Linked DNA regions of Arabidopsis thaliana. The protein of the gene in region 1 interacts with the protein of each later gene in a pairwise test. Each region holds a gene or a part of one and is shown in the gene's direction. Other genes may lie near its edges. The genes, in order: AT3G61790, AT1G12440, AT5G04320 and AT4G02940.

Evidence for each region.
Region 2: the proteins of AT3G61790 (region 1) and AT1G12440 interact in a two-hybrid assay, tested with the Arabidopsis thaliana proteins (one large-scale study listed by BioGRID).
Region 3: the proteins of AT3G61790 (region 1) and AT5G04320 interact in a two-hybrid assay, tested with the Arabidopsis thaliana proteins (one large-scale study listed by BioGRID).
Region 4: the proteins of AT3G61790 (region 1) and AT4G02940 interact in a two-hybrid assay, tested with the Arabidopsis thaliana proteins (one large-scale study listed by BioGRID).

The regions. Positions count from the first base shown.
Region 1 is NC_003074.8:22,870,041-22,876,745, reverse strand, and holds AT3G61790 (Protein with RING/U-box and TRAF-like domain), read left to right. Parts: upstream 1-2,912; 5' UTR 2,913-3,202; coding exon 3,203-3,430; intron 3,431-3,713; coding exon 3,714-4,100; intron 4,101-4,406; coding exon 4,407-4,772; 3' UTR 4,773-5,049; downstream 5,050-6,705. Other genes in the region: AT3G61800 (ENTH/VHS protein), read left to right, coding at 1-85, 215-2,023; emb1703 (embryo defective 1703), read left to right, coding at 5,284-6,705. UniProt on the Arabidopsis thaliana protein: E3 ubiquitin-protein ligase that mediates ubiquitination and subsequent proteasomal degradation of target proteins.
Region 2 is NC_003070.9:4,239,464-4,245,816, reverse strand, and holds AT1G12440 (A20/AN1-like zinc finger family protein), read left to right. Parts: upstream 1-2,615; 5' UTR 2,616-3,009; exon of another isoform or gene 3,010-3,457; 5' UTR 3,458-3,494; coding exon 3,495-4,001; 3' UTR 4,002-4,396; downstream 4,397-6,353. Other genes in the region: AT1G12450 (SNARE associated Golgi protein family), read right to left, coding at 9-204, 307-524, 627-863, 1,061-1,321. UniProt on the Arabidopsis thaliana protein: May be involved in environmental stress response.
Region 3 is NC_003076.8:1,205,067-1,213,078, forward strand, and holds AT5G04320 (Shugoshin C terminus), read left to right. Parts: upstream 1-4,130; 5' UTR 4,131-4,279; exon of another isoform or gene 4,280-4,398; 5' UTR 4,399-4,444; intron 4,445-4,530; 5' UTR 4,531-4,546; coding exon 4,547-4,603; exon of another isoform or gene 4,604-4,679; coding exon 4,680-4,769; exon of another isoform or gene 4,770-4,856; coding exon 4,857-4,894; intron 4,895-4,994; coding exon 4,995-5,103; intron 5,104-5,211; coding exon 5,212-5,235; intron 5,236-5,338; coding exon 5,339-5,404; intron 5,405-5,490; coding exon 5,491-5,532; intron 5,533-5,631; coding exon 5,632-5,728; intron 5,729-5,802; coding exon 5,803-5,869; intron 5,870-5,958; coding exon 5,959-6,135; intron 6,136-6,253; coding exon 6,254-6,358; intron 6,359-6,461; coding exon 6,462-6,566; intron 6,567-6,671; coding exon 6,672-6,749; intron 6,750-6,857; coding exon 6,858-6,953; intron 6,954-7,048; coding exon 7,049-7,310; 3' UTR 7,311-7,512; downstream 7,513-8,012. Other genes in the region: AT5G04310 (Pectin lyase-like superfamily protein), read right to left, coding at 176-381, 817-1,033, 1,162-1,869, 2,102-2,286; CYP84A4 (Cytochrome P450 superfamily protein), read right to left, coding at 7,629-8,012. UniProt on the Arabidopsis thaliana protein: Dispensable for both meiotic and mitotic cell cycle progression. Required with SGO1 for full protection of centromeric cohesion during anaphase I. Required to prevent precocious release of pericentromeric cohesins during meiosis. Acts redundantly to SGO1.
Region 4 is NC_003075.7:1,303,240-1,312,719, forward strand, and holds AT4G02940 (oxidoreductase, 2OG-Fe(II) oxygenase family protein), read left to right. Parts: upstream 1-3,073; 5' UTR 3,074-3,418; coding exon 3,419-3,977; intron 3,978-5,899; coding exon 5,900-6,045; intron 6,046-6,124; coding exon 6,125-6,242; intron 6,243-6,317; coding exon 6,318-6,440; intron 6,441-6,530; coding exon 6,531-6,646; intron 6,647-6,724; coding exon 6,725-6,879; intron 6,880-6,967; coding exon 6,968-7,460; 3' UTR 7,461-7,799; downstream 7,800-9,480. Other genes in the region: AT4G02950 (Ubiquitin family protein), read left to right, coding at 7,959-8,915. UniProt on the Arabidopsis thaliana protein: Dioxygenase that demethylates RNA by oxidative demethylation: specifically demethylates N(6)-methyladenosine (m6A) RNA, the most prevalent internal modification of messenger RNA (mRNA) in higher eukaryotes.

The DNA.
Region 1 (6,705 bases):
CAAATCCATTGTTCGCTATTCTGATTCGGAGGTCCGACTTAGTTCGCAAACCCTAATGGAGCTCATGAGACATAACCACTCTCAGGTTTTTTTCACATTATTTGAACAATTTCTGATCCGTTCAATTCATTGAAACTTGCTCTTTTAAGGACTAGTCAATGTTGATTGATCAGGTTTGTTGGTCAAATAACGCGGTGATAATTTTCTTTGACAGGTTCGATATCTGACGCTTTTCATAATCGACGAGCTATTCATGAGATCAAAGCTCTTTAGAACTTTGATAATTGAGAATCTTGATCAGCTTTTGAGTTTAAGTATTGGGTTTAGAAGCAATCTGCCTCTTCCTGCACCACCTGCTGTTGCCACTACGTTGCGTTCAAAGGCTATTGAGTTCTTGGAGAAGTGGAATTTGTCTTTTGGGTTTCATTACAAGGAGCTTAGACTTGGGTTTGATTACCTTAAGAATACCCTCAAGTTAAAGTTCCCTGATTTACAGGCTAATGCTGCACGGATTCAACGAGAGAGACAGGAGAGGGAGATGAAGACAAAAGAGATTTTGCGGAACAAGTTTGATTCCTTGAGAGTTAGTTTTGGACTCTTCAAGTATGAGATTGAGGTAACGATAAAGGAAATCAAGGAGTGTATGGAAATTGTTCAGTGGAGAGGGGATGATGGTGTTCCACTTGCGATCTTAGATGAGGAAGATTTTGAGGAGATCCGTTGTTCTCATCTGAGGCAAATTCGTCTTGATTCACTGAAACAATCAGAAAAGGTTGAAGAAACTGGTGAAAACAGAATTGTATTTGATGTGTTGAGGGAACAGTGCAAGCTTCTAGTGACAAAGCATCTGATCTCGGTTCAAGAAGGGATCTCTCTTCTCATTAGGGTTGACGTAAGTGATAACAGAACGAGAGATTCCATGTTGAAGGACTTGATTGATATCAGGAATAACATATTGGCAGCTAAAAAGAAATGGGAAGAAGCTGGTTTTACAATGTCAAGAATGACTGATATTCACGGTAATGAAGAAACAAACGAGGAAGAAGAAGATATCTGGGAGGAGGATGATGGCAAGGTTAAAACTGATTCAGTCAAGAACGTGGCTCATGTGATGAGAACTCAGCAGAGTGAGAATTCATCTTTACCATCATCAGGTGAAGCAAAGAAGTCTACATCAGAAGCTAGGTCCAATAAAGTGTCGAACACTAAAAAAGTTGGAAGCAGTGGAAACTCTCTTAGAGACAAGCTAATTTCTGAAGCGCCTGTGATGAATTGGGGATCACAGTTGACTAATTGGGAATCAACTACGGAAGTTCGAGCTAATTACCGGGGTTTAGAGATCGAGAGCCACTGGGGCAGGGTGGATCAAGATGCTATAATTCCAGCAGATAAAATAGCAGAATTGAATCTTCAGGCAACCGTGTATAGAGAAGAGAGAACAGAGACACCTCCATGCCGTGCTTCTCTAAAGAAAGGTGGTCTTTGCCAGAGAAGAGATCTCAGAGTCTGTCCGTTTCACGGACCCATTGTACCCCGGGATGATGAAGGAAACACCATAATCCAGGAATCTCCATTAGATGAGAGTGAAAACCAAACTTCTTCAACTTCAGGGACCAACCAGGATGTGTCTATGGATGAAACAACTTCAGATTCTGATCCTAATCAGTTAGCTAGGCAAATAGCGAAAGAGGCTCTGAAGAATATCCGGGAGAAAGACAAAGAAGTGGTGAGGAAAAGAGCAAAGCTTGTTAAGGTTAAGGTTAAGGAACACAATCATGAAGTTCTGCGTGGTGCGGCAATAGCCTCAACTTCTAGATCGAATGCTATGGATGATGAGTTTGATAGAGTTTTTGCTGAAAAGAAAAACAAGAAGCAAACCTTTTCCACAAGGCGTAAGAAAACAACGGCTAAAGATAGAATATCCCAGAGACTGTTTAGTAATCGAGTAAAAGGTACTAATCCACAGCAGTTGGCTCAGGGCAATGATGAAAAGTGCCGGGATACATCGGCTAACCAGTGGTAACAAATAACTAAAATCTTTCTAGTTTTGATCCAGTAGTGCCTTAAATTTGATTGTTTGATGCAAATAGGAGTAAAAAGCTAAAGAATATTTGATGAATGAATAATCAGATCCGCTTGTGATCTCTTGTAGCTGTGAAAACAGTTCTTAAGTCAAGTCCCAGATTCTTTGAAGCTTTATATTTTTCTCAGACAAAAGTCACAAAACCCAACAGAAAGATAATAGTACAATTGACATGTTCTGTTAAAAAGCAACGACAGATCATTGAAGCTGGATGGATCGTTGTTGTTCGCTTTTTTCTTTTTCTTTTATGTGGTGTGTTTAAGGATGATATCACTCATGAGACCGATCACTGATGAGAAGCAATTATTAATTGAATAATTTGCTTTTAAGATTGTGAGAGTTTGCTTGAGATGAAGAAGAGTAAAATGTTCATTTACATTATCATTGGTCTTTGAAGTGACTTTGAACCCAAGCCACATCCCATTACTTATTATTCCTCTTATGAATTTCATATTCTTAAACCGTCTAATTTTACCTAAATACATCTCTTAAAGTTTTTGTTAAAGTAAACAGAAAGATGAGCATGTTTTTCATGAATCTTTGAATTTAGCTGTCATTTTAGAAGTTGAAAATCATTTTTCTTGTACAAAGGAAAAGAAATTGTTTGAATTAAAAGTAAAAAAAGAACACACAATAATGATAGACAGAATCCCACTAGAGAGAAAAACATCTAGAATAAAAAAAAAGAAGCAATCATGTGCACCATGTACATATTTAGGCCCATCTCTACTGGATCATGGCCCTTTAATTAAAAACAAAGAAATCATTGAGTGAGAGAGGATATACTGTACGTATATTATTAGAATATGATTATTTTTCCCCTATCCAGTAAATTCTTCTGAATCTCTTATAATTCAATTTGTTTCCAAATAACATTCTCTCTTTAACACAGCCGCCTTTGTGACCGTCCGATCTTAAATCAGCGTTTCCGGTTCATTTGACGGCAACTATCTCTCTCTCTCTCTCTAGAGAATTGATGAAGAAGAGCATCTATCTTTTTTGTTTTTGAAAATTAACAACACTTCACGAGGGTTGACCTGTTTCGGTGGTGTTTCTTCAATTCCGGATTTTGATCTTTCGTTTCGATCGAAGATCAATCAAAGTCTCCACCTTTCTTCAATGGATTTGGATAGCATGGACTGTACATCAACCATGGATGTGACAGATGATGAAGAGATCCACCAAGATCGCCATTCCTACGCTTCTGTTTCCAAGCATCATCATACTAATAACAACACCACCAACGTTAATGCTGCTGCTTCTGGGCTTCTCCCTACCACCACCAGTGTTCATGAGCTTCTCGAATGTCCTGTCTGCACCAATTCTATGTACCCTCCCATTCATCAGGTCTTTCTTTTCAATCCCTTGTTCTCTGATTTCGTTTCCCCGGATCTTTAATTTGTTGATTTTGTTTAGGGTTTTGAGTTAATGATGTGAATCATGGATGTTGAAGCAGTGGTTGTGTTGCTCTTGTAACTTGAAATTTAGTTTTATCCATTCACTAATGGCTACAATTGAAACAATTGTCACTAAATTTTGTCAATAGCTTTGATAGTTTCTAAGATTCTTCTTATTGTTTCTTTAGAGAATTATGGAATAACAGATAGACAATTATTTGATTTCCCTACAGTGTCACAATGGACATACGTTGTGTTCAACCTGTAAAGCCAGGGTTCACAACCGCTGCCCAACTTGTAGACAAGAGCTCGGTGATATCCGTTGTTTGGCACTGGAAAAAGTAGCCGAATCACTTGAACTACCTTGTAAACACATGTCACTTGGATGTCCTGAAATCTTCCCTTATTACAGTAAGCTCAAACATGAGACTGTATGTAACTTCAGACCTTATAGCTGCCCTTATGCTGGATCCGAGTGTTCTGTTACGGGCGATATCCCTTTCTTAGTTGCTCATCTGAGGGATGATCATAAGGTGGATATGCATTCTGGGTGTACTTTCAACCATCGTTATGTCAAGTCTAATCCTCGTGAAGTCGAAAACGCCACATGGATGTTAACTGTAAGTACATATGAATCGTGCTTCATAGTATACACTTAGATAAGTTAGGAGGCTTTGTTTAAAGTAATAGGATTATATTTGTGATAAAATTTGATCTGTCTGGTATAAACTGTAATGTGATCAGCTGAGTCAAATTTTGCTTTTGTTGCGAGTTAGCTTTCCTAGAGAAGGTCCAGTTATTTATCTAATCTATGGTTGTGAATTGTGAATCTTCCATCTCGCTATACATGTTGACTTGATATACTTTAATGCTTATCAAGGTTTCCTCTGTTTTGGTTTTGTTTCTGGTTCAAAAATGAAAATCAGGTCTTTCACTGCTTCGGTCAATACTTCTGTCTTCACTTTGAGGCATTCCAGCTCGGAATGGCTCCAGTCTACATGGCGTTCCTGCGTTTCATGGGGGACGAGACAGAAGCTCGAAACTACAATTACAGTTTAGAAGTGGGAGGTTATGGTCGGAAGCTGATATGGGAAGGAACACCAAGAAGCGTAAGAGACAGCCACAGGAAAGTTAGAGACAGTCATGATGGACTAATTATACAAAGAAACATGGCTCTCTTCTTCTCAGGTGGAGATAGGAAAGAGCTGAAACTTCGAGTCACTGGAAGGATATGGAAAGAGCAACAACAAAGTGGTGAAGGTGGAGGAGCTTGTATCCCAAACTTGTCTTGAAAATTAAAAAAAAAAAATCAAACTGATTTTGAAAACCTCACCGATTTGGCCTTGTCTCTGTAACCATGGTTATCTGTAATTAGGGTTTTCTCTGACGATAAACTTGGGGTTGTTCTTATGTATCTCTCTCTGTCTTTCTCATGTCATGGAGGTTTTTTTATTATAAAATATATAGTTCATTACAATTCTGCTATATCTGGAGGAAAAACGTAAAATGTTGAACCTTTTACTTTTATCAACTGTAGTGTTCATAAATTTATGTAATGCTTGTGTTGTGTCCACGAAACGACGACGTTTCATCATTGTTCTGTTAAACCCAGCTTTTGGAACTTGGAAGTGATGAGCTTTATATCTGGAAAATGTAAAATGTTGAACCTTTTTTCAACTGTAGTGTTGTTCAAAGGCGTTAGCTTTGTTTAAGAAACGACGACGTTTCATCATTGTTCTGTTAAACCCAGCTTTTGGGGGTTTTCTCACTCGGAAGTGAGCTTTATCCCTTTGGTTTCCATCAATGGAGGTTCTACTAAACTCCAATGATGGTTTCTTCAATTTCTCGTCTTTCTCGTCCAATTCGAACAGGAGACTCGCTAACCAACGTCGATTCAACTTGCCCATCTCCAAATTCCACTACTATCGCGTTTCAATTCTCCGAGTCTCGGCTCGGTTCGGAGAGACCTCGAGGCGACGTAATTCGCTGAGGAAGAAGATCATCGGTGATGAGTATTGGCGTTCGACTCCGAAATCTTCTGAACCAGGTACGAAACCTCTAAACGAAAGCCATAAGTTTGGTCACTGTGATGATTTAAGTAGCACCGAGGGATTGAAAGATAGGGTTGCTCAAGATTCAAATTTGCTGAATGAGCTTGAAGATTGGGTTGCTCGGTATAACAAGGAAGCAGAGTTTTGGGGTATTGGTTCGAATCCCATTTTCACTGTCTATCAGGATTCTGTTGGAAACGTAGAGAAAGTAGAGGTTGATGAAGACGAGGTCTTGAGTAGAAGAAGATCAGCTCTTGGGGATTTGGAATCAGTGAGTTCTAAGCTTGTATATGCGAAGAAATTAGCTGAACAAATGGAGAATGGGGAACATGTGATCCATAAGGAGAGTTCTCTTGTCAAGTTCGTTTCTTCTTCTTCTTCTTCAGAGGAAGAGTTTCGTCTCGTTAGCTCAGTCCAAAACGCAATTCTTCGTCTTGACTTAATTCCAAAGTTGCCGGCGATTGGAAGAGCTGTTTTGTGTGGTTACATTGGACTCTGGTTGCTGAAGACGGTGCTTGTGTATAGGAAGAGTAATGAGGTTGAGTGTACAGAGTTGGAGAAGGAGATGATGAGGAGAAAGATGAAAGCTTGGCAGGAAAGGGATATGTCGGAGAAAGGTACCGTGGAAGTTTTGCACAAGGAGGGTTTGGAAAAGCCATTGATGTCATTTGAGAAGCCTAAGTTTGATCGAAATGAACTTATGACTAGTATTTCTAAAGTTAAGGGTTCAGAGAAGAAACTGGAACTCGTGAATTCTCCTCATGTTGAGCTGGACTTTGTTGATAAGATCCATGAAATCAAAGCAATGGCTAGACGAGCACGGGAGATAGAAGCTGGCATAGAACTTAATGAAAAGCAGAAGCTCGATGTGAACAAAGAAACAGGCGACAATGAGGAAGATATAAGCATTCAGTCACAGAAGAGTCTTCCACATGAGGCTTTGACACACAGTGAAGGTGATGATGATAAAGATGAACGCTTGGGAACTTCGACTGACAGTGAGAACACTGAACTTTCTGGTTTTGCTGTTCCGATGTTGAATGGGGCTATGGTAGATTTTGGTTTTCTGAATCATGAAATGGCAGCATCTGACAAAGAAAAGGTGAGTAATGTGGTACCACCAGTTCCTACAGACGGAGTCATCCAATCTTCTGATGTCTCTAAGGATCAGTTA
Region 2 (6,353 bases), on another chromosome or scaffold:
GAAAAGAGTTAATAAAGTATTGGATTTTGTAATGTCTCTACGTCCTCTGATTGCATCGCACTTAGCTTCTTCTTCGCATAGATTGTGCAGACTATAGTCGCGCTCGCAGTTACACAGAAGCCAAGAACATTCACGACTATCTCCACAACCGAAAGTGTGTGTCTCGTGTCTGATGCAACTGCTAGTGTCCTTAGCATTATACCCCTGCAAATATCCCAAAACAGAAAACCACCAGTCTTAAGATTCTGCAGAACATGCCTTAAACATTGAGACAAGAGACATAGAGAAAGAGAGAGAGGCATGTACGTGTAAATTGAGACAAAGATCTCAGGAACCATTCCAACAAGAGAGCCTAAGATATAAGGACCATAATGAACTCCAGTCGCTAAAGCGCAGTAGTTGTAAATGATGTAAGGAAATGGAGAGACACGGATTAGTGTGACTGCTTGAAACTGATGAAACCAGGTTCCTTCACCAGCAGCTCTAAGTATGGCTGCTTTTTTAGGGTATTTCTTCAACCATTCCTGCACAAATGACAAGAAAGAAAAAAAGTCCAAATTGATCATCTCATGGTACAAGCTTAATAATAAGTATCCGAACAAAGAGTATGGGATGATGATGCTTACTTGCATCTTGTGGAGGAAGAGATGTCCAATTAAGAAAGGAAGAGTAACACCGATGGAAGCAGCTGATAAAATCAGAAGAAACCCTTTTCCATAACCAAATGTAAGACCAGCCATCCACATGGAAGGGGAAGAAGGAAGAAGAATGCTTGGAAACAATGCCACTGAGGCAAATAGTAGAAGACCGAGAACCGGTATGCTGAATGTGTTTCTCACCCAATTTATAAATGGAATCAGCTCCTGAAACAAATCACACCAACATTAATGATGATAAATGAATAACCTTCCTTATAAACACATACTCATACATGTAATTCAAGAACCCTAATTTTCAACAATTAAAAACCCAGCAGAAACCAGAATCATTATGCATACCCTAATCCAATCAAATGTAACCAATAAGCATCAGATCTTCGAGAGACAAAAAAAAAACGAACCTTTTCAATCAAAAAGGGACCAACCCATTTGATGATAACAAAGGCCAATGAACCCAAACAAACGACCAAGGAGATCAATTTCACCCAGAACCAGACAGAAGTAACCGATCCTATCGGACATCTCGATGATTCCGCCGATGATCCTTCATCTTCTTCATTTGATCCTCCTCTCAATTTCAGATAATCACCATTATCGGAATCTTCTTCGACTCTCAATTTCAGCTCAGGCACCGTCCCATCGACGCCATTGCTGTACGTCATAGATCGATGCGAAGATAAAACCAAAAAAAGTGAATCCTTTTGGCTCTAAAAAAAATATCTCAAAAGTTTCCGTCAGAATCGTTATGCACCTCTGTTTGTTTTCCTTCGGTTTCTCGAGAAAATTAAACCGTTAGATCAAATGTTGTGTTGATCGGAGAGAGCGAATGGGGTTAGAAGAAAGAATCTTTATTATTCGTTTCCGTTCTTAGCTTTAAAAACTTTTAAAAAATGATATCCTTATAATTAGGTGGTTTAGTTTCAACTTATTAAACCGGTGTCGTAGTCAAACATGTGGAGACATATGAGTGGCTAATAGCTGTTGCTCCGTCACGAACCACCGATAAATGTGTAAGCAGAGTTGCTTTAGACCGGCGCTTTATTTTCGCTTTGCCGTTACGGTGCGTACATACATCGTACTGACAGAAGAAATACGTAACATATTTAATTATTGAAATTTAGTTGCTTGAAGGCAATTTATATATATTACGGAGCATAACATAAAAGAAAACGAGAGGATCGAACAAGAGAATGAAACGCAACCAAAGTTGATACTTGTAAGCAAAATATAAGAACAAGACTCCCTGTAAAAATGAACATATCGATAGATGATATATAGATTAGATAGCTACGTTTTGAAGTATTAATACCATACCAAAGAGGAGCATAAGAACTAAGAAGCTTATGGACCCTATAAACAATTCACAAACTATATCAAATTTAATTTGGTTGTGGACCTTATGGTCAGTATTGGATCCAAAAAAAAGGATGCAGTCGCGAGTGAGAGTCGCTTGCTAATATAACGTCTTGAATGATAGCGTTCGATGATTTTGGATTTCGATTAGTCGTTTCCAAACCAGATAAATGGAAATTGAATTAGTCTCGATTTTAAGGACAAGCATAAACAAATTATAGCTCAAGATTAGATATAGTGGTGTCCAAAACACTTTACGTAAATTAAAACGATTTAGTCATGTTGATATTTGCAAGTAAACTCAGTGAGAAAAGACCTGACCACTTTTAAAATCCGGTCGTTTTAGCGAAGAAAAGAAAGAGATAATTGAAAAGGCCCAAGGAAGAAAGAGTACATTTGGAACAACATATCATCACATTCCGATCAAATCAAAAGAGCGATGGACTAATCGCGTCGGGACAAACGCGCCACCTTTTTTCTTTATCCTACTGTTACGTCACCGTCCAACCAGCTAAGCATGTCCCCACAAACCAAACCCGGTTCATATAAAACCGATTATCTTCACGAACTCGAACCAACTTTATCGTAATCCACAAACACCATAAAAAGTTGATAACCCCACCCATTTTATATCCACTTTATCTCATCAAAAAACTTCCAATCACCACCGTTGGATTAGTAAACAATGGCGTCATCACTCTCCGATTGTTTCATCGAACGAATATTATCAGGGATGTATTAAATCTTCCGTGCGCCTTACCGCATATGAATAAACCATTTGACCACAAAGACAAATGCAAAAGAACTAAAAGAGTCTGGTTTCTGTTCTGTCCTAATTTCTCTCTGGCGAAAGCTAAGAGGTTTCGGTTACGGTCTCCATCTCCGATCAAATCACGAAGTTTCTATCGGAAATTTTCAGTGATACATACCGTCAGAGATTTTCTTTACGAGAGAATTGTCGCCGACATACTAAAGCAGAGTTTTGGGTGGGAATTAGGTAAATATCTTATTGGTTTTGTTCTGTGCCGATATGCAGATTTGTGTTCTTCGTTTGAATCCTTCATCTATTCTTGAACCATTCGATTTAAGTTTTTGACGGCGAAGATTAAACAACTCTTATCTATCTCTTTTTTGTCCTTTTTTGCGCCGGAAGGGTAAAGTGGTCTTTGTGAGATAGACGCTGACCTGGTCTTAAGTGTTGACAAATGACGCATTTACTCTTCGACTTTATAAAGAGTTCCAAGGGTATTTTAGTCATAAATGAGAAATAATTTTAGTCTTTCTCGCTTGAGAAACAAGCCAAGAATCTCCGTTTTCTAAATCTTTCGATATTGTCAATTTCCCTTTATTTTCTCGACGGAATCATAAATAAAAACCCTAAACCTAAAGTCACAAATTCATTCTTCATCTGTTATTCACGATTTGTGTTGTCTTTTCTTTTGCAGTAAGATTTCGACTTTGGAATTGGGAGATCTTTCCATTATGGGTTCTGAGCAAAACGACAGCACAAGCTTCTCTCCTTCAGAGCCAAAGCTCTGCGTCAAAGGATGTGGCTTCTTCGGATCTCCATCGAACATGAACCTCTGCTCTAAATGCTACAGAGACATCCGAGCCACGGAGGAACAAACCGCTTCCGCTAAAGCCGCCGTCGAGAAATCTCTAAACCCTAATAAACCCAAAACTCAACCACAACAGAGCCAAGAAATCACTCAAGGCGTCCTCGGATCTGGATCGTCTTCCTCATCAACGAGAGGGGGTGATTCGGCTGCTGCTCCGTTGGATCCACCGAAATCGACGGCTACGAGATGCTTGAGCTGTAACAAGAAAGTTGGCGTGACGGGTTTCAAGTGTAGGTGTGGAAGCACTTTCTGTGGAACTCATAGATATCCAGAGAGTCACGAGTGCCAATTCGATTTCAAAGGAGTTGCGAGAGAAGCTATTGCTAAAGCTAATCCTGTGGTGAAGGCTGATAAGGTTGATAGGATATGAATTGGTGAAGAAACTGTTGTGTTCTCTTTTGTTTTTTTATTTTCAAGTCTCGTGATGTTGGTGGTTTGGCTCTCTGTTTTCTGCTCTTATTATGGTTTTATTTGCTTTTAGGGTTTCTTAGGAAAGGCCTTAGATTCTGCTATTATGTGGTTTCATGTTTTGCAACATTGGATTTGTTGTTCTGTAATAAAGTGTTGGTTATATTATGAAATTGTGTTCTTATTGGTACCAGCTTACTTCTTCTTACTTGGAGAAGTTGAATTGTTTGCAGATATAGGATTCTCTTGGTTATGAGGCTTATGAACTAGTTGGGGGTCGTAAATAGCTTATGGTGGATAAAAGTGTGTAGCTTGATAGTTCTGAAACTAAAGATGTCGTATAGAGCTTATGGTGGATTCCCCTGGTTTGTTTATAGTGGACGAACAAGTTGGGGTTTGTATATAGCATTATAGCTTATGGTGGATAAAGTATGTAGCTTGAAATTTCTGAAGCTGAAGATGTTGTTCAGGGTATCTTTATCGAGTCATGGAAGATTTAGATGTGTCTTTAGTTTAGGTGTTAAGTGTCCTTGATTGAATGAGTCATTGATTTTGCTTTCTCTGTCTTAGCTGGAGAAAGTAGTGTTCTTCTTACCTGGACAAAGTTTGATTCACTTAAGAGTTGTGGGACTTAGAGTAAGTGGAGTTTTTATATAGCTTATGGTGGATCCAATGAAGTAGTCAAAGTAGTTTACCTATATCGAACCATGGCAGATTAAGAGATGTTTAGGTGATAGTGCCCAGTGATTGAACGAAATCAGTGATTTTTGCCTGGTAGTGGCAGTATGCTTTGATAGCTTAAGAAACTTTAAAGACTTGAGGCTCGGTTTTGGCCATGATCGATTTGTTTGAACTAGTTGGGATATTCGGTGTTGTAGTCGATGACTGTAGATTGAATACATTCTGTCGTTTGTGTATACATATTCCCTAGCAATGATGCTCATAAGATTATTTCCCTGTGCTTGTATGATCTTCATCTCGTTGGGGTTATGTTTAAAGTGTAACCCATCAAAAGTTTTTAGCAAAAAGATGGAATAGTCAATGCCAATGCAGATCTTTGAATGGTGTGTATTGAACAATGTCAATATCCACAATCAAGTGCACTAGTTGCATCTGATCTATTTTTATAAAAGAAGTATCCATCCAAATTTTTTATATACTGTCTTCGCATACAACTGATTTTGATCTGAAATTTCACTAGATGAAACTGGATTTGATTTTCAATACGGTTTCTAAATTGTCTAAACTATGAAAAACTGTAACAAACAAAAATTGATATCAAAACTTAAGACTGCAACCGACGAGTTGAGGTAGACTATGAAATGATAGAACATATGTCCTTGGTGTGGGTAAACTGTTGCTTTCACTTTCACTTTCACTTCTTGATGGTTACATTACAATATTGGGTCCATTTTTCGGATCTTATCAACCAATTTACAAAAAGCAAAGAGAGAAAAGCAGTGCACTACAGTTTTCTTTATAAAACTTAACAAATGAACATGTAGACTTTTAGTTTTCAACTGTGAAACATGTTTTGTACTTCTTTGCTTTAGGCTTTATTATTTTTCTTTCTTATACATGAAAAAATAGTGGAACAATGAAGTACTTACTGCGACATTGCAACCTTTGGAAAAAACCACTTTCAGGCCATGATGCAATATCGAATGATCTGACGTTGCATCAGTCGTATAACCTTTTGTAATTCATAGTTTTACCCCTAAAAAAAAACAATTTTATATGAATTCAATTTTCGATTTTAAACATAAATTTTCGATTTTGGACATTTTACATGTCTAGAATATCTCCCCAAATCCTATGATCAATATAATAAACAAATAATGCTGAAATTAGAAAGAGAAATAACAAAGTGCCCTTTTATATTTTATAGAAAATAACTCTTTGTTCCTTGAATATAACTCACTTTAGTAAAGTCTCTCATTGAAGAAGGCCCCTACATGAATACTGAATAGTCTGAGTGCTTTGAATAAGTTTCCCTCTTTATACATCAATGCTGCAGTATATACACACTATAAAGCACCAGAATGGCAAAAAAAAAGGTTTCGTTTTACATTTGATTATGAAATATCAGAGATGTGTCAATTGGGTTAAGAATTCACTATTTGAATATGTTCAAATTTTGTTATTCATTCTTTTCTTATTATGATGGTGTTTTTTGGTTTGGAAGGATCATGATGTTTGAACCAGGTGTAAGCGAACTACAAATTTTATGAAAAAAATCGAATCATAATTTTGATCGAACAATTATTTTAATGTCGATCCAGAAATTTCCATTTTAAAACTAAACTATATTGAG
Region 3 (8,012 bases), on another chromosome or scaffold:
AACTAGGAAATATACGTTTCTAAAGAAAAAAATGTTGAATGTTATATAGTCTAGAATATAGTGTTAGAAATAATTAAAAGAATCGAATAAAAGTATAGAGGCAAAAATAAACGTAATAAAGTAGATGCTAGTTTGGGTGGAGGAAGCAATTGAATAGATGATTTGATAATAATACCTTGGATCGCCGAAAACGCCGGCATTGACCGTGAGCTGGTCAATGATCGCGGCGGCTTTAGGCTGAACACTGGTGGCTCTGGCATACGCTGGGCTCACTCCGTCACCTGACGGCACGAAAAAAGCTCCGTTAACCATAACGTCACCTTCCGTTCTCCAGTTCCATCCCGACCAATGTTTCTCGTTTGAGTCCACGCGCTTCGTTACCTTTACAAAACAACACAGTAACGTGAGAACCACGCGACACCAAAGCGTCAAAGTCAAAGACACACTACAATGTTTCTCGTCTCATTTAATTTGATTTGGAGGATGTGACTGTGTTAAGTGTCAACGTCGTAGACGACAAATATTGTAACCGGCATATAAGACTTAGCCGGCGCGAGGGATTAACGCGCAAGTGGACCAATATTGCATGACACGTCAGAAAGAGCACACCGATCCCACAAATACTTATCCTGTTTTTAAGAGAGCTTTAAACTTTCCCATTAAAAGTTCTACCAAATTTGAGAAAAATTTGAATTCAAGAACTTGTTTTCTTTGAAGTAGTAAACATTCAAAAACATTATGTGTAAAATGCTTGGTTATGTAAGTTTTTTGTGAAATCGATTTGATACATAATAGACGGGTAAGTAGAATTTATACCTCTTTGGCATTGGGATCAATAGGTGCGGTGTAACGGTTACCCTGACTATTAATTGTAGGGCTAGCACTTCCGCCGATTGCATACATTTCCCATGCCGTGAAGTCGTTGTTCACCACGTGGATATAACCGTGCCTACACCGCGGCATCCTCTGAACAAGCCCTTCTCCGAAATGGTTGAATGCAATTGTTACTTGCATCCCCTTATCAGCCGTGTACCTTTTTAATACAATACCATGACCATAAGCCATTAAATTTGGGTTAAATTGATAAATCCAAAAGTTTAACTCTTTAATTGGAAGATTAGTAAATAAGGGGCTTTTTGGGAAATAAGTGGACATAATTACCGGTCGTCGTGACCTAGGAGCATAACCTCGTCGTGATGAGAGAAATAGTTGTTGGAGATTGTGACGGCGGTGGAAGCGAGGATGACGTCGATGAGTCCGTCCGCACAGTAACCGAGAGAACAGTGATCGACCCAAATGTGATGAGAAGCTGATACTGAGATTCCGTCTCCGTCGGAGACTCCTCGAAATCCAACATGTGTAGGCGACGAAGCGACCAAAGTGTTGCCGGAGGGTTTACAGTGGTGAATGTGAACGTTGTGGATGATGACGTGGCTAACCTGCTGAATCGTGAGGCAACCATGGCCGGTGATTTGGATATTCGTGCCTCTTCCATCGATTGTCTTGTAGCTTCCGATGATGAGCTCGTGTTTGAGTTTGATTCCCATGTCGCTGGAGAAGATGATCCATAGTGGTTCTGGCTGAATCACGGCGTGTCGAAGAGTTCCGGGAATTGGATTCGCTGCGTCGTTGTCGGAGGAATCGGTGACGAGGTAAAACTGACCGCCTTTTCCTCCGAGTGTTCCTTGTCCGAAACCAATTGAGCAATCGGCGAGTCTTTGGCGGTTTGCCGACCAGTTTGGGTCGCAGCGCCAACAATCGTCGATTGGGTTTCCGGTGATGCAAGAAGGTATTGGTGACGACGCCGTGGTGCCGTCGTCTTGTTGGTAAGTGAGAAGTTGTCTTCTTGAGAGAGAATCGTTGAGTTTTCTACATTAAGAAACAGAGCATGTTAAAATGTTAGTTGGGAAAGAAACAGAGAAGATTGCTCTGTTTCTGATATTGTCATTATCATTATAAGAATAACAGAGGTTTTAAAGATTCAAACTTTTTTGAAATTTTAGTTGGATTACTTGAGAATGAGAAAGACCCACAAGATAAAGCATGAAAATGAATCAAACCCTTAAATGAAATCAAATAAAATGTAAGAGAAAAGTTATACCTTTGAACATTAAGAACAACATGTTCAGGGAATGGGTGTTGGTGTGGGAGAGAAAGATTGAAGATAGATGCTGAGGTTGATGATGCTCTTCCATGGTGAGAGAGAGAAACCAAGAGGCAAAACCAGATAATGCAAATGCACGTTGGTTTTTGAAGATTATGGATCCTCCTCTCATGAGCCACCATTATATCTCCTATTATATCTTATGAAAAGACCAGCAGAATTAGAAACTCAAGTTCCTTAAATATGGGTTTATGGGGAATTGTGCAAATTGGGTTATATAATAAACTAGGGCCAAAAGAATTTTATTTGTGTGTTTGCCTTCCTACATAGTATCTCTCTCTAATCTCTCTAGTTTGTTTCAAGTGGAAGAAAAGAAAATTAGAGAGAAAGAGAGAGTGTGTGAAAGGGGTCAGAGAATCCTTAAAGTGCTTAATCAAAACTATTTCTCCCACCTTTCTCCAATCTGATTCTTACTTTTGTAAGAGTGACTCAGTTTACTTGAATTACCCAATCATCCACGTATGACGTATCCCTCTCTCTAAAACAACTTTTCTATGGATTTAGCAGCCTTTTTATATGTCACTGATCACGGGATAAATCAATAATGTAGTTTGCGTTATAAACATGCATATAAAACTTAGACCAAAAAAACATGCATATAAAACAATACTTACCTTGACGAAAATACTCGATGCAGCGCAAGAATTCTCTTAGTTTTTGAAAGATTTATTGATGTAGCGTCATCTTTATCACTTCTTGTGCAAGACATAAGCTTTATTTCTTCTTTTGTTTCTTGTTTAAGTTTGCCTTTTCCAATTTGATTTCCTTTTCTTTGTTGAACTTTACTTTTCAATTAGGGTTTTGTTAAGGCTAAAGTCGGCTGTGACTTAGTTATATAAAGATATGTAATGTCTCTTTAGAGACTTGGTTTATGATTGAATAAAAGAAGAGCTTTCTTCAACATTGAAGTCTTCGAGTTCTTGATCCATTGATCCTTGAACCTCAACTATAACTGTTTTGAAATTTCTGTTTAAGTAAATGGTGATGAAAAGAAAAAGAACAATAATCAATAGAATTTTGACCTAGAGATAACAATTTGACCTAACCCATAATGGTCTTCACTTATCTTTGTCTATTAATCGAGTGTTTTAGTTGCAGTTATTTTTCATCAAATGTATCTTCACTAAAGAAATCGAATCAATGAAACTCTTGTGAATAGTTTTGAATTTCGACAAACCAGTAATATGTTTGCTAATTTAATCAGCCTAATTATAATTTGACAAAGTGGCGCCCCCAACAACCTATCCGTATACAATAGTTTATTGCAATTGCAGTTGTAGGCTTGTGGTATTCGTTTGTTATGGAGAATGTATTCAAAGAAAAAAACAAAATGTTGAAATTGTGAAGAAGAAAAAAAAAAAAAACCGAGGAAAAGTGATAGAATATAAGAAAGAATTACAAAGGAAATAATGTATCATCAATTCAATAAAATCGGCTATATTTATATAAGTGATCGGTACAACTTGACAAAGATTTTTTGTCAGATTCTACTAGGCCAAGTTGGCATTGTTAATGAGTTTTAATTATCACGGTTTTAGGCAACATAATATTAAATTTTAATAAATTATGTAATAGTTACAATTTATAATCATAGTTGTTTAGAAGAATACCTTTGACGTGAAACTACAACTACATGTGAGCAGAGCTATAAACCTAAATGTTTCTGATTCCAACCGAATTTTAAGATTTTGATCCAAAAACTACAACCGAATTTTAAGTTTTTCATCCGAAAACTGATTACAGTAGTTATTATTGCACATAGCCACATTTGTTTTTTAATGAAGGTTTTAACTTTTAACTATTTAAATTGCAGAAAAAGAGAAATTGTTTTTACAAATGCCCATTATGAGTTATGACCAATTTATTTCGAGCCCAATTAAAGCAGCTCAAAAGCCCAACTAGAAGGAAATTGAATTTTCTAATCAGATGTGAACCGGGTTTTAAAGCTGATGAAACCAGACCAGGTGAATTTTTTTGTAAATTTGTTGACTTGGTTTGCCGCCGATCCAACCGTATCTTTCCGTCTTCTTCGATAGAGTGAGAATCTAGGGTTTGGGAGATGAGCAGTCGATTCCGTTGGATCCCCAGCACCACATCTGTATGAAATTAAAGGCTGTGAGTCTATCTGAAAGCTTGATTTCATTGGCTTCGATTTGCTTGAAGAGATAATCGAAGAGATTCCGGTGACGACGGTGATACATTGTTGACTTCCATTTTCTTCCGAATTTTGAAAGGTTCTGAAGCTAGGAGAGAGTACGATTCTCACTATCGTGTTTACTGGTAAGTTAATTCATTGTCCAAATTGTTTAGCTTTTACTGGAATCGAAAGTATGAGTGAGGCTTGATTCATGTTTCCCCAATTTCAGAGTCCCCAATCAAAGGATGGTGCTAACTGAAATGAGCCTTGACTACTCTAATAGGGTTTTAGGTTCCCAAAAGGTGAACAATATTCATACATGAACCAACAAATCTTTCCCATTCCCTGCCGCTGTTGCTAATCGATAGCAACTTGCAGGATAATGTAAAACAAATGGATAAAGAAGAGACGCAGCAGAAGGAAAATATGCTATTCTCTTCCCAGGAATATGCTGCAAAGCTTCAAAAGGCATTTCCTCTTCACTTTAATCTTGTTGAATCCTGGCATATAATTTTTTTTTTCTGATTTGGTTGCTGTATTGATTTGATTTTGCAGGAAAACATGACACTGATGAAAGCTCTAGCACACCGAAAGTATGTGTCTTGTTTTCGTTAGAATATGTTGGCTTTTGAGTTTCATGAACGTTTTCTTTGTTGGTAATCTTTGTTTTGTGTGCTTATTTTGTGAATACAGTAAACTCGTCGAGTTGAGCGGTATTGAGATTCAGAAACTGAGGATTAACTTACGGAGTGTGCAGGAAAAGAATTTGCAGCTTGCTCAGGCAAACAGTCAGATGTTAGCGGTGTGTCCCATCCTTCTATGTTTTGATTTTGTGATGATTGCGAGATTATTTGAAACTATATGATTAAAGTATGGCTTCATTGTCCTTTTTTCATGTTTTTCCTGCCAGGAACTCAATACAAATAGAGACAGAGTAAGCTTTTCTAGAACTGAATTCTCTCAAACTGATGCTTTTCTTGATTCATTATATTACAAGTTCTTCAATCAATTGACATTGTATGTGATTTTTTTTTCAGCTCAAGGATCTCCAGCATGAACTTGGCTGCAAGAATGCTTTACTTAAAGTCAAGAAACATCTTGAGGTAAGTTATTCCGTTGGCCTACATATTTTCCATTGACTATAGTTACCAACGAAAAAGTTTAAAACTAGAGATTTGTTATTGTCCAGGAGCAAGTACTTCCACGTACACATCATGAATCGAAAGACAAGGTGTTTACTTGGATTATCCTTGGTGACATTCTCAGAATAAAAAATTATCACCTTTTCTACATTGTTTTCATACTATTTGGCTTTGTTGTTGACTTGAAGGTTTCAGCAAGCGCTTCTGATGGGGATTGCAAATCCTTTCAGGTGCATGACATAAAACATAAAGATACCAAGAGAAAGCGAACAACAAGGATAAAATGTAAACTGTTTTGCCTAATTTCATTGTTGATCCTAAATGCTTCGCATCCTTACTCTATATTGTTTCATCTTCAGCTTCAGTAAGTGCCGACGTCAAGCCAATACCTGTGAATGATTCTAACAGTAAAGCTAACCGTAAAAGGTCCTAATCTGCTTTATGTTTTATCCATGTTTTCTGTGAAAGATTTTGGCAGTCATGTAAACCTGAATTGTTATTGTTTTTTTTTGTAGAAGAGTTTCTGGAGTAATAGATACTACTGGTATTCCCGAAGAGATCTGTCAGACTGAAGATGACATTGATAAGGGGGTTGTCTCTCGAGGGGTAAACCAAGATATTGACAATGTTGTCAACAAGAAGTTTGTTCCTGATGCAGCAAACCCGGTAAAAGAGAGTGTGCATCGCAAGAGGTTCTTATTCAGTCCAAGAATTACAGTTTACATCAATGTCTACACAAAAGCAGTGGGAATATAAGTATATCTGATTTGTACTTTTTATCTTTTCTTGTTCTTGGTTGTTTCGTTGTAGGCAATGTACACGAAGGCAATCTACCAGATTTGATGTTCAAGAAACTAAACAAACGGAAAAGTTGCTTGAGATGGATGGTGCCAAAGAAAGTAAAGAAACCGCAAGGTTATTAGTTTTTTTTTTTTTTCCTCTTTCCACTTTAATTACTGACTGCAAACTCTGAATTGACAATAGCGTATTGTGATGACACTTTCTCCGTTTCGAGCAGCTTCTCTTTGAGAAGACGGTCTGCTCGGTTAAGGCACGAAGAAGCTGAACCATGTAAAAGCTTACATGAGGGAGACGAAGTCAGGGAGACAATCAAGAGGAGAAGGTTTGTAAGAGGCCTGAATTACTTCATATTTACAAGTAGTATCCTTTTAACAGATGTTACTAAAAATGCGTTAGAGGTCACTAATTTCCTGTATAACTTGTGCAGAGTCTCTTTAAGACTGTCTGCAAGGTTTGATATACAAGAACCGCATGTGACTGAAACCTCGAATGCTGACGATGCAAGGTTTGTTGAAACAAAAATTAAAAAATTTCTCCATCCCGTCGACAGATAACACAGAAATTGAGTTTAGCTAATGCCACTTGTGATTTCCCTCCTGGATAATATCTTCAGAAGCATAGTAATCGAAGAATCTGCTGGATCAAGATCGGAATCTGTAGAACCATCCGAAAGCAGGCATGAAACAAAAGAGATAACCCGGAAACGCAGGTTTGTTAGTGACAGTGAATTTCCTGCATTTCCGCTGATGAATATCAACTCTTAGTTATGTAATGTGACTGTTATCTCTGTGGTGTACTTGCCAGTTTCTCAACGAGAAGACAATCAACAAAGGGTAAATCTCAAACCGATGAAGCCATTAAAGAAATAGCGACAGACCCATCTTTGGTCAACACCATAGTTCAAGAGTGTGATCAGGAAACAGAATCAAAGGATAAGCCTAAAGCTGATGAAAACGAAGGGATGACAAGAAGATCATCTGTGGGAAGACCATCGAGACATGCCGCAGAGAAAGTCCAATCATACAGAGAAGTCTCACTTAGAGTAAAGATGCGACGAAAATGCTAAATCTCCAGCATTGTCTTGTGCTTTTGTATTCTTAATCTGCAAAATTGTTATTCAAAAGCTTACTTCATGCTCTTGTATGGCTTTTGCCTTCTATATCTACGCCTCTGTATTTTGTCGTTACTTTATTATGCTAATTTTTCTTGAATACATTAATTAAAATTAAGTCGTTTAATGTGGTATTGTTTTGATTTGTTTGTTTAGATTATATATTCACACAAATAACAACGTACAATAGGAATTTTCTCAATTTAAGGTTCTATAACACATTACAAGTTATTACTCCGATTCCGAAAACTCTTGTTTTCAAAGGTGGAGGCTTCACGAGACGACGATGGGGCAGAGGAGGCGCGTGGTCGGCACCGCCACCAAAGGAATTGCCTTAGGAACGGTGAGACCCGGTCCTTCAACGGTGTCGACGTCACCGGGATTCATACCGTCCGGTAAACTCCACGTGAAGCAGTGTAGAAGATGAGCCACCGCAAGCTCAAATGCGTACAACCCGAGTTGCATACCCGGGCACGATCTCCGACCCGACCCGAATGGAACAAATTCGAAATTATTCCCCTTCAGATCCGGAGCAATCGGGTTTAAAAACCTACCCGGGTTAAAACTTTCCGGGTCGGACCAAGAATTCGGGTCACGCCCTAGAGCGTAGGTATTGACCATCACACGCGAACCCTTGGGGATGAAGTAACCGGAAAT
Region 4 (9,480 bases), on another chromosome or scaffold:
TGGCAAATCCATAATTAATTCTATAAATAAAGCTTTGTGAATTTCTAACAGATTGATATGCATGTCTAAGAATTCAAAGACGTATATAAATTAAAACTGGACAAACCATTAAATAAAATTCGAAGAAAATAAATTTCGTTAAAACAATAATAATAAAAAAAGCTGGTTGGCGCCTTATTTTAAATGACTGAAAATGACAAGATACTATATGTTTTCACAACTTCGAAATGCGATTGTAACACAAAATTATATGCATTTGAGTGTTGGTCTCGTTGTCGCGACAAATGAATCTTTTGCCCATGAGCTTTCACCAATTCGAGTGTTAGCGATCGAGTAACGCCACAAGAAAGGGTGAAAACCCCTATTTTCTCATTTCTCTTCAGTAGCAAGAAATGTTAAAATAGAAAGCATGTTGAGAGAATGGAGTAGCATGCTAGTTTAGACAAATATAAAATGGTGGAAGAGTAAATATTCAATTTTGAGAGGGTAATAATGTAATCAATAACATGCTAGTTTAGACAAATACTCCCAAAAGAATGTCTCAAACTCAAAGAGTTGGTTAGAATTTAAAGTGTCCAAATACACAAATACCCCAAATTTTATACTATTTATGTGGCTAGTGGCTACATACAAATTTATCCAGTGAACTTGTGTGATAATTTACTGTCTTAAAAGTTTATCTGTATCTAGAAATAGAAGATCCGATCAACAAAATACGAGTGAGCATTTCTTCATGGATCATGATCAGAAACTTTCTTATGAAAAACAATGAGCACCACTTTTATGGGTCACTAAGGGTTCGTGAGTTAACCCCATACCTCTTTTGTGTGTGTGCCATAGGTAGTGGAAAAGGGAATCTACTGATGTTAGAGGGTGGTGCTGTTTCGGCGACCCACAAATCTGGACGATGTAGGCCCAAATTTTACCTCACCCCACCATTTTCGTAGACTTTTCATTCCGGTCCCATAATTTTACATTTCGTTGGTCTAACCCATCATTCATTGATTCTTTACCTTTTTGCCAAGAGGCTACTTAACCTTTTTGCTCTTTATGGATTGGTGATAATAATTTAGTCTCACCATAAAATTCAATGTTTTTCTAGTCAACACCATCTAAATTCTAATTCAACATTTTTTTCAACGCTAATTAAAACGAAATTCACATATTTTTAGATTTATGACTACTAGATAAACAAGTTTTATCGAAACTTTTTTCAACAAAAATTTCATGCGAAACAACAAACCACGGATCAATACTTACTAATCACGGATCGGAATCTTCTATTTTTTTTTTTTTCTATTTTGTAACTATCATATTTAATGTTTTCAACTAATCACGTAGAAGGGAGCTTTTTCAACTATTAGTGAATTGACTTGTAAACAAAAGGAGAAGTCAAATAAGAACAACGATAATAGTAGAAGAAGCTCTTAGACTAATTAATTAATATCTTAGAGGTACAAAAACAATTTGATTATTATTACTTTATGCGTCATCTCTTAGATCATCTTCCACGGGCCTCATGGACATGGACATTGACATCATGACTCATGAGTTTGGTTGGTGTAAAGTTCAAAAATATTAACACATAACACCAAACGATCAATGTCTTATACATATTTCTATGTTTAAAATTCACTAAAATATGTTGCAAACAGAATAAAAAATATTAGCTGCTTATACCAATTGTAGAAGAATAATATATAGCAACAAAAATAATATAGAATGAGTACAAAATGGAAAATAATCTGGTGTGTATATAAGTTGATTTTCATAAAATTCTGATAGTAATATTTGACACAAATCATTCATAAATTAAAATTTTCTATTTAATAGCATTTTGAAAAAAAATTATTTAAATTATAAATTAACATTTTCTATTTAATAGCATTTTGAAAAAATTATATTATTCATAAATGATGCATTGAAATGTTAGATTTATGGTAAACATCAATCTTTATACATTATTAAAACTCGTTGAAAAGTTTAAGTATCAACTAAATTTATAGGCGTTTATTGTTTTAAAAGTTTAGAACCATAAAGTTCAAATCATTCCACCACAATTTTGATCAAAGTTAACCACAACAAATGACAAGGATTAGATGTTACTTGGAATCGTTTGATTATAGATAAAGAAAACGATATTAGTACTTTTATAGTTCAGAATAAATACATAATTGGAAGTCATTTTATGTGATACGGCAAGATAACTCTTTTGTTCAGCGCCGTTCTTTTGTTGTCCCAAGGAACTATTGTGCGTAAACATCAACCCCAAAAATGCATACCATGTCACAACTTTTTGAAAGAACTTAAATTAACTTACCAATTTTACAAGAAGTGAATACAACTAATACAGCTTTTTAACCTAGGCTTAATTGCACGCTAATGCTTACAACATATTCCATCAGATTCTGTCTTTTCTTTATAAAAAGTTTTAGAGATTTCTTTCTATTTCAAATTATTTGGTGTTTTACATCTAAAGTGTAAGAAACCAATTTTCTTTTTTTTCAAAACGCAACTAAAAAAAATCCTTTACATATTATACATTTTATTCTTATTTCATTAATAATAAAATATAATTTATTTTATAATTTTCTCTATCATGTATTCTTCAATAATATAACATCATATTTTGACCCCACAAAAAAACTTATATAAAGAGTACAAGAAAAACAAAACTAATGTTTGATAGCTTTTACATTTTTAAAATCTGAGAAAATTGAAGTTTTAACTCCATCAAATAACATTGCAAAATCACATAAAAATTATGATTTGTGATTTCACGTTTAAATTTTGTTTTGTTAGAAATCTATTTGATAAAGTAGACGTTTATATACCAACATAATCGTCTAGGTAATTAAATTAGACATCCACATAACAAAATAGCATGTTATATATATTTTTAAAAATCACATATTCGATAATAATTAAATAAAAGTTATTAAAAAATTAAAAATCAATATACTATTTAATGGCGATCAAAAACATCATTATTTGTTTTTAAATTTCATCGTCAAATCTTGCCATCTACCTAATTTAACCACACAAAAACATCATCAAATTATTCCTGTATAATACCAAATTAAACTCTTTTGTCCAAAACAATTTCAAAAAAGAAAACTCTGTGGAATAAGAAACGGGCAAAGAGGGGCCAGAAGTTTAGCCACGTCAGCTACAAGAGAGTGCCACATCATCACCATAAGCCTCTCCCACCTGTACGGATCCCTCCCAATATAAATTGGAACCAAACTCTCTCCTCAGAAAAAACCTTCTCATTACACTTGCATGTGCAACGACCCGACCCTATACCCGACCCGGCCCACATTTTAAACCCATTTTAGCCTTTTCTGTTTCCGCCGCCGACTGATCGGAATAATCGATCAAAGAGAGAACAACTGAATCTTCGCCGGATACTACGCCGATGACGATTGCGGCAGCGCCAGCACGCCAGACAGATCGATCAGCCACTGGTTTCAACCCTGCTTACGTCACGACGGCGAAGGCGGTGAGCGTTCCGGTTCAAGTTCCTCCGGCGACTGTGGTTTCCGAAGGATTAGGTAAAGATGCGTTGATCTCATGGTTCAGAGGAGAATTCGCTGCGGCAAACGCGATAATCGACGCGATGTGCTCGCATCTAAGGATAGCTGAAGAAGCGGTATCTGGATCGGAGTACGAAGCTGTATTCGCGGCGATCCATCGCCGTCGTCTGAATTGGATCCCTGTTCTTCAGATGCAGAAGTATCATTCCATCGCTGAAGTAGCGATCGAGCTTCAGAAAGTGGCGGCTAAGAAAGCGGAGGATCTGAAACAGAAGAAAACAGAGGAGGAGGCGGAGGAAGATCTGAAAGAGGTGGTGGCGACGGAGGAAGAGGAAGTGAAGAAAGAGTGTTTTAACGGCGAGAAAGTAACGGAGAATGACGTAAACGGAGATGTAGAAGACGTTGAAGATGATTCACCAACTAGTGATATCACTGATTCAGGTAAGTAAAAAAAAACTTCACAATTCTCAAAAGAAGTATATTTTTTTCTTGGATCCAGAATTTTCTATATAGTTTTACCAGAAACAATGATAGGTTTTCTCATATAATTATTGTTCTTTTGTTCATTTGAAAAAGCATATTCTTTGAAAGTTTGGTCATTTGATTCTTCTCTGTTCACTGTGTAAACTGGCTCTCTGTGGTTGGTGACGATTTTTTTTAAAAAACTTCATTACAATTATGAGAATGAGTTGAAAATAGTTGTTTTTTTTTGTATATATATATATATATATTTCTTGTTAAAGAAGAAAATAACAATATTTTATATTTTAGAATATATTTCTCAGACTAATTCAAGTTTCAAGATTTAAGTACGTGTTTCCCTCTACTGGATCCGAGATGTATTCTAAACAATTTTGACTTTTAATTCTTAATTAGTATTACTACTATTTTTATTTAAATTGTTTTCTTTATATATATATCAATCGTGAGATTTTGTTGCATCATTATGCCAGAGATTCGATTTTTAGAAATAATTTTACCAAATTAACCTGATTCTTTCTAAAAAAAGAAATCTTTATTTTTTATGTTCCACACTAATCAAATGACTAACACAGCCTGGTATTTTTAATACCATGTTTGGAAACTTTTTAGTTATATATTTTTGTAATAAAAAAATAATATATAGTTAAAGACGAATATTTCGCTGAAAACTAAGAAATTAATTTATGTTAGTTACTTTTAACGTGTGTGAAAAGATAATATATTATAAATTTATATGACTAAGTATAATTTATTAATATATTTTGTTGCCGGCTTTATAGTTGGTTTATAATTTTTTATTTCTTCACTTAACTTTGATCTTTTACACGAAACTAATTTTTTAGGACAAAATAATTGTAACGTAACTATTAGTGTTACTTTAGTTATGCAAAGTACGTACATATTAAAACAGGGTTCGAATCATAAAATCAGACCTTATTACTATATTAAAAGAATAAAAAATTAACACAAACTTTCATGAAAATTCGTACAAAAGTACAAATCTATTGTAGTTGTGTTGAAAAAGCATATAATCTGAAAAAGTTTCTCTGACTTCTAACAATGTAAAAATGGACCAAAAACGTCATAACGATGTCGTTTGGAATTAAAAGATTACAGTAGTAGGATTCCTATTCTCAATGTGGTTGTGTGTGTTAGTGGTAGTAGTAGTAGGCAACAATTTTGTTGTCTTGTGCTCTAGTTGATGTAACTGTTAAACGCATCAAAGGTATCAATCTCACATTGATTCGCGTGTGATGATTTTATTGCAATTTTTATTCTTTCTTCTTCGAATGGTGAGCTCATAGCAGCCGTTGGATTTAATTAAAACTTGAGTCGTCATCAATTATGGTCCCCACGATTCTCCGTGCCGCCCTTTAACTTTTCTCTTCTCGTCCCGAATGTTCGAATCCCTCACGACTCACGCGCACATTTTGGCTTTTTGCTTTTTGTTCACGGCCATAAAAATAAGTCAGAACTCTATAAAGGTTTTTTTTATTTGGTATAGATCTTTTTACCAGTCTAGTGAGTTTTTCTTCGTGATGTGTGGTATTTAATTTACTCGTGTTGAAAGTCGCATGTTTAGGTAAAGACACGTGGACGAACACAGTAGACTTTGTAGTCTTGTCTTGATGTCTTCTACATTGAAAGTCTCTGACTTTCTCTGATACATTTTACAAGGAAACTATTAGTAGTTCTTTAGAATGGTCCATGAGAATCAAATATCACATTTACTGTCATTACTTTAGTCGATGTGTTTCTCACTAAAGCCAAAGATTCGAAGCTCACATTAATTAATTGATTAAAAACACTAATTCAACTAATTTTTTTTGTAGTTAAGTATGAACAAAAACTTGAATAATTTTATGGTTTTTGTTACATAGGTTCTCATCAGGATGTTCACCAAACTGTTGTTGCGGATACTGCACATCAGATTATATGCCATAGCCATGAAGATTGTGATGCACGTTCATGTGAGATCAAACCTATCAAAGGTTTCCAAGCTAAAGAACAAGTCAAAGGCCACACTGTGAGTAGTGTGATAAGTTCGATTTGAGAGACATACATATGCATATGGTTATTGATAAATTAATGTTGTGGTGATATAGGTGAATGTTGTGAAAGGACTAAAGCTGTATGAAGAGTTACTTAAAGAAGATGAGATATCTAAATTGTTAGACTTTGTGGCAGAACTACGAGAAGCTGGCATAAACGGGAAGCTTGCAGGTGACTGACTTTGTCTTACGCTAAACACATTATAGGCTTTAAGAGTTTTCCGGTGCTTATACAAGATGAATGCAGGTGAGAGCTTTATACTGTTCAACAAACAGATTAAAGGGAACAAGAGAGAGCTGATTCAGCTTGGTGTCCCCATCTTTGGTCATGTCAAGGCGGATGAAAACTCTAACGACACCAACAACTCTGGTAAGGAATCGCTTGATCCGCAAGTTTCAGTCTAAATGGTTTGATCCATGTGGATGGCTTTGACCGATTAGAGTTTTTGTTGGTTTGTAGTTAACATCGAGCCAATTCCACCACTTCTTGAGAGTGTCATTGATCACTTTGTCACATGGAGACTCATCCCAGAATACAAGAGACCTAACGGCTGTGTCATCAACTTCTTTGAAGAGGTATATACATCTCCATGGATCACCATTCCTTTATGTTTCCGCTTTTCTTTAACCTTCGAGATTGCCACTCTTTTTCAGGGTGAATACTCACAGCCTTTCCTCAAACCACCTCACTTAGAACAACCAATCTCCACTCTTGTCCTCTCTGAATCAACAATGGCCTATGGACGCATTCTCTCAAGTGACAACGAAGGCAACTTCAGAGGACCTTTGACACTCTCTCTCAAACAAGGGTAAAAATAATATCAAAAACCTCTTTCTTTAACTCCAAGAAAAAGGTCGGTTTCGCTTCATTAACATTGTTTGACCTGATCTTTATAGATCTTTGTTGGTGATGAGAGGGAACAGTGCAGACATGGCAAGACATGTAATGTGTCCATCACAAAACAAAAGAGTAAGCATCACATTCTTTCGTATTCGACCTGACACATATCATAACCATTCACAACCCAACAGTCCTCGCAACGACGGTGTCATGACAATGTGGCAACCCTACCAAATGACACCAACTCCATTCCTCAATGGTTATGATCATTCAATTGACATGATGCCAAAACTTGGAGTCCTACGTCCTCCAATGGTCATGATGGCACCACCACCGGTTCAACCAATGATATTACCAAGTCCCAATGTGATGGGAACCGGTGGTGGTACCGGTGTTTTCTTACCATGGGCCTCTGTTAATAGCTCAAGAAAACATGTGAAGCATTTGCCTCCACGCGCGCAGAAGAAGCGATTACTTCCGCTTCCTCCTGCTGCTTCTTCTTCTCCAGCTGGAGGATCCACCTCTGAGCCTGTGATCACTGTAGGTTAATCCTATTCGACTTCTTCAGCAAAAAGAAAAAAAAACTTGGAATTGGTCTTTTTCTAAGCAATGCTCTGTTTCTTCTCTGTTCTGTTTCTTTTTTTGTTCTTTCAAATTCAGTTTAGGTTAACTCAGGTTTTATAGATAGAATTAAGTTTGTTACATCCCCCGAGGCATGTGTTTTCTACTTTGTGTACGATTTTATTATCAGTATATTCTCAAAATGTTACCTTTCATTGCTAGTTTTCAAACAAAATCAGATTATAGCACAACATCATCTCTTCAAAGCCACATTAAGCTTTTAGTGATTTCCATGTCGTTGTATTCCTTCACCTTTTACCAAAAAAAAAAAAAAAAAATTTTGTATTTTTGGTTACTTTTTTTCAAGATTGTTGAATTTTTTTATCTTTCACGTTTGTTGACAAAGAACAATAGATAAAATCTCTTTCAAAAATAGCAAAATTGAGAGAAAGATAAGCAAAATAATAGGTCATTAGTTAACACATTATGAGGAAACTTTCGTTACAAAAAAAGTCCCAAGTTGACATCACCTTCTCTATTCAGACTCTCTCTTTCTCTATTCACTCTTCATCAGTCTCCATTGATACAATGATAAGTGTGATCATCGAGAATCAGAGTGGCTCATCGTTCACCATTGATGTTTCTTTCTGGGACACAGTGTTAATGATTAAACGGAAGATCGAGATGACTCAAGGGACCCCTGTTTCCAAGCAAATACTTATCTTCAAACGCAAGGTACTTCAAGACCATCTTAATATGTTTGGATGCCAGATACGTCACAACTCTCGTATCCTTCTCTCCATCTCTCCTGACGATAACCCTACTCAGAACCAAGTGCCTCAAACCAACCAATCTCCATCAACACCATCAAATCCTATTCATGAGTTCGTTAACAATCAAGATTCTCCATTATCGCCACAATCAAGTGCTTTGACTATGGAAAAGTTCAGTAAGAATCAACAAGATCGGCCTCCATTAATGAGAGTGGTGGCGAAGAGAATCGACAATGGATCATCACGACCATCATATTCACTTGATGAGTTACTTGCCCCTCGAGATTCGTCGACTGTGGCGGTTGGGAGCATAAGAAACAGGGATCAAGAGGTTAAAAACAGAGAATCTTCGCCGTCAGACTCAGTCGAAGAGGTCATTAACTTTACAGACTCGCCTGCGATGAAGATGATAGTAATGTTGCAGCCATATGGATATACCAGGATGATTCAAGTAGAGGTTACAGCAGATGATAACGTTGAAGAACTGAGGAAAGAGCTGGTTAAGATGCAAGAGAGGGGTGAGTTAAATCTGCCTCAAGGAATGTATTACTTAATACACAAGCATAAGCAGGCTGTATTACACGAAGATCAGTCATTCTTGACCAACGGTGTTGCTTACGGTGATACGATTCAGATTTCCCAAGGATATGTTAAACTCACAAGTGGTTGAACGTTTGATCACTAATCGATCTTAAACTCTTTTTCTTATTGGTTTTAGTCTTTCTTCAAGTTTTCTTGCTTTTTCCAAAGTTCACAGGTTTCTGAAATATCCTAACACATGTAATACCAATATGAGCTGAAAGAAGAGAAATAAGTTCTTGTTGAGTTACTATAAGCTCTGTGTACATTCTAATTCACATTTCTTTTACTACTTCAATGTATCACTAGTACAAAGATCAAATGTTGAATCTATAGATGTTTATAGAAGAGATGATTTCATTACATAGTGAGAATCACAATATATATACAAGAGTGAGTAGCTAGGGTACATCAACGTAATGAATGAGAGTATATACGACTTTACATATGTGTATCCATGACAGTAGCAATCTAGGATATCAATCATATCCTCAATACGCCCCCACAAGATGGAGGGACTTTGATGACTCCAATCTTGCGAGAGAAGTTCTGAAAAGCGACGCGGGACAGAGGCTTTGTAAGAGTGTCTGCTAATTGATCATGAGTGGAGACATGGACAACACGAAGTGCACCAGATTGAACTTGGTTACGGATGA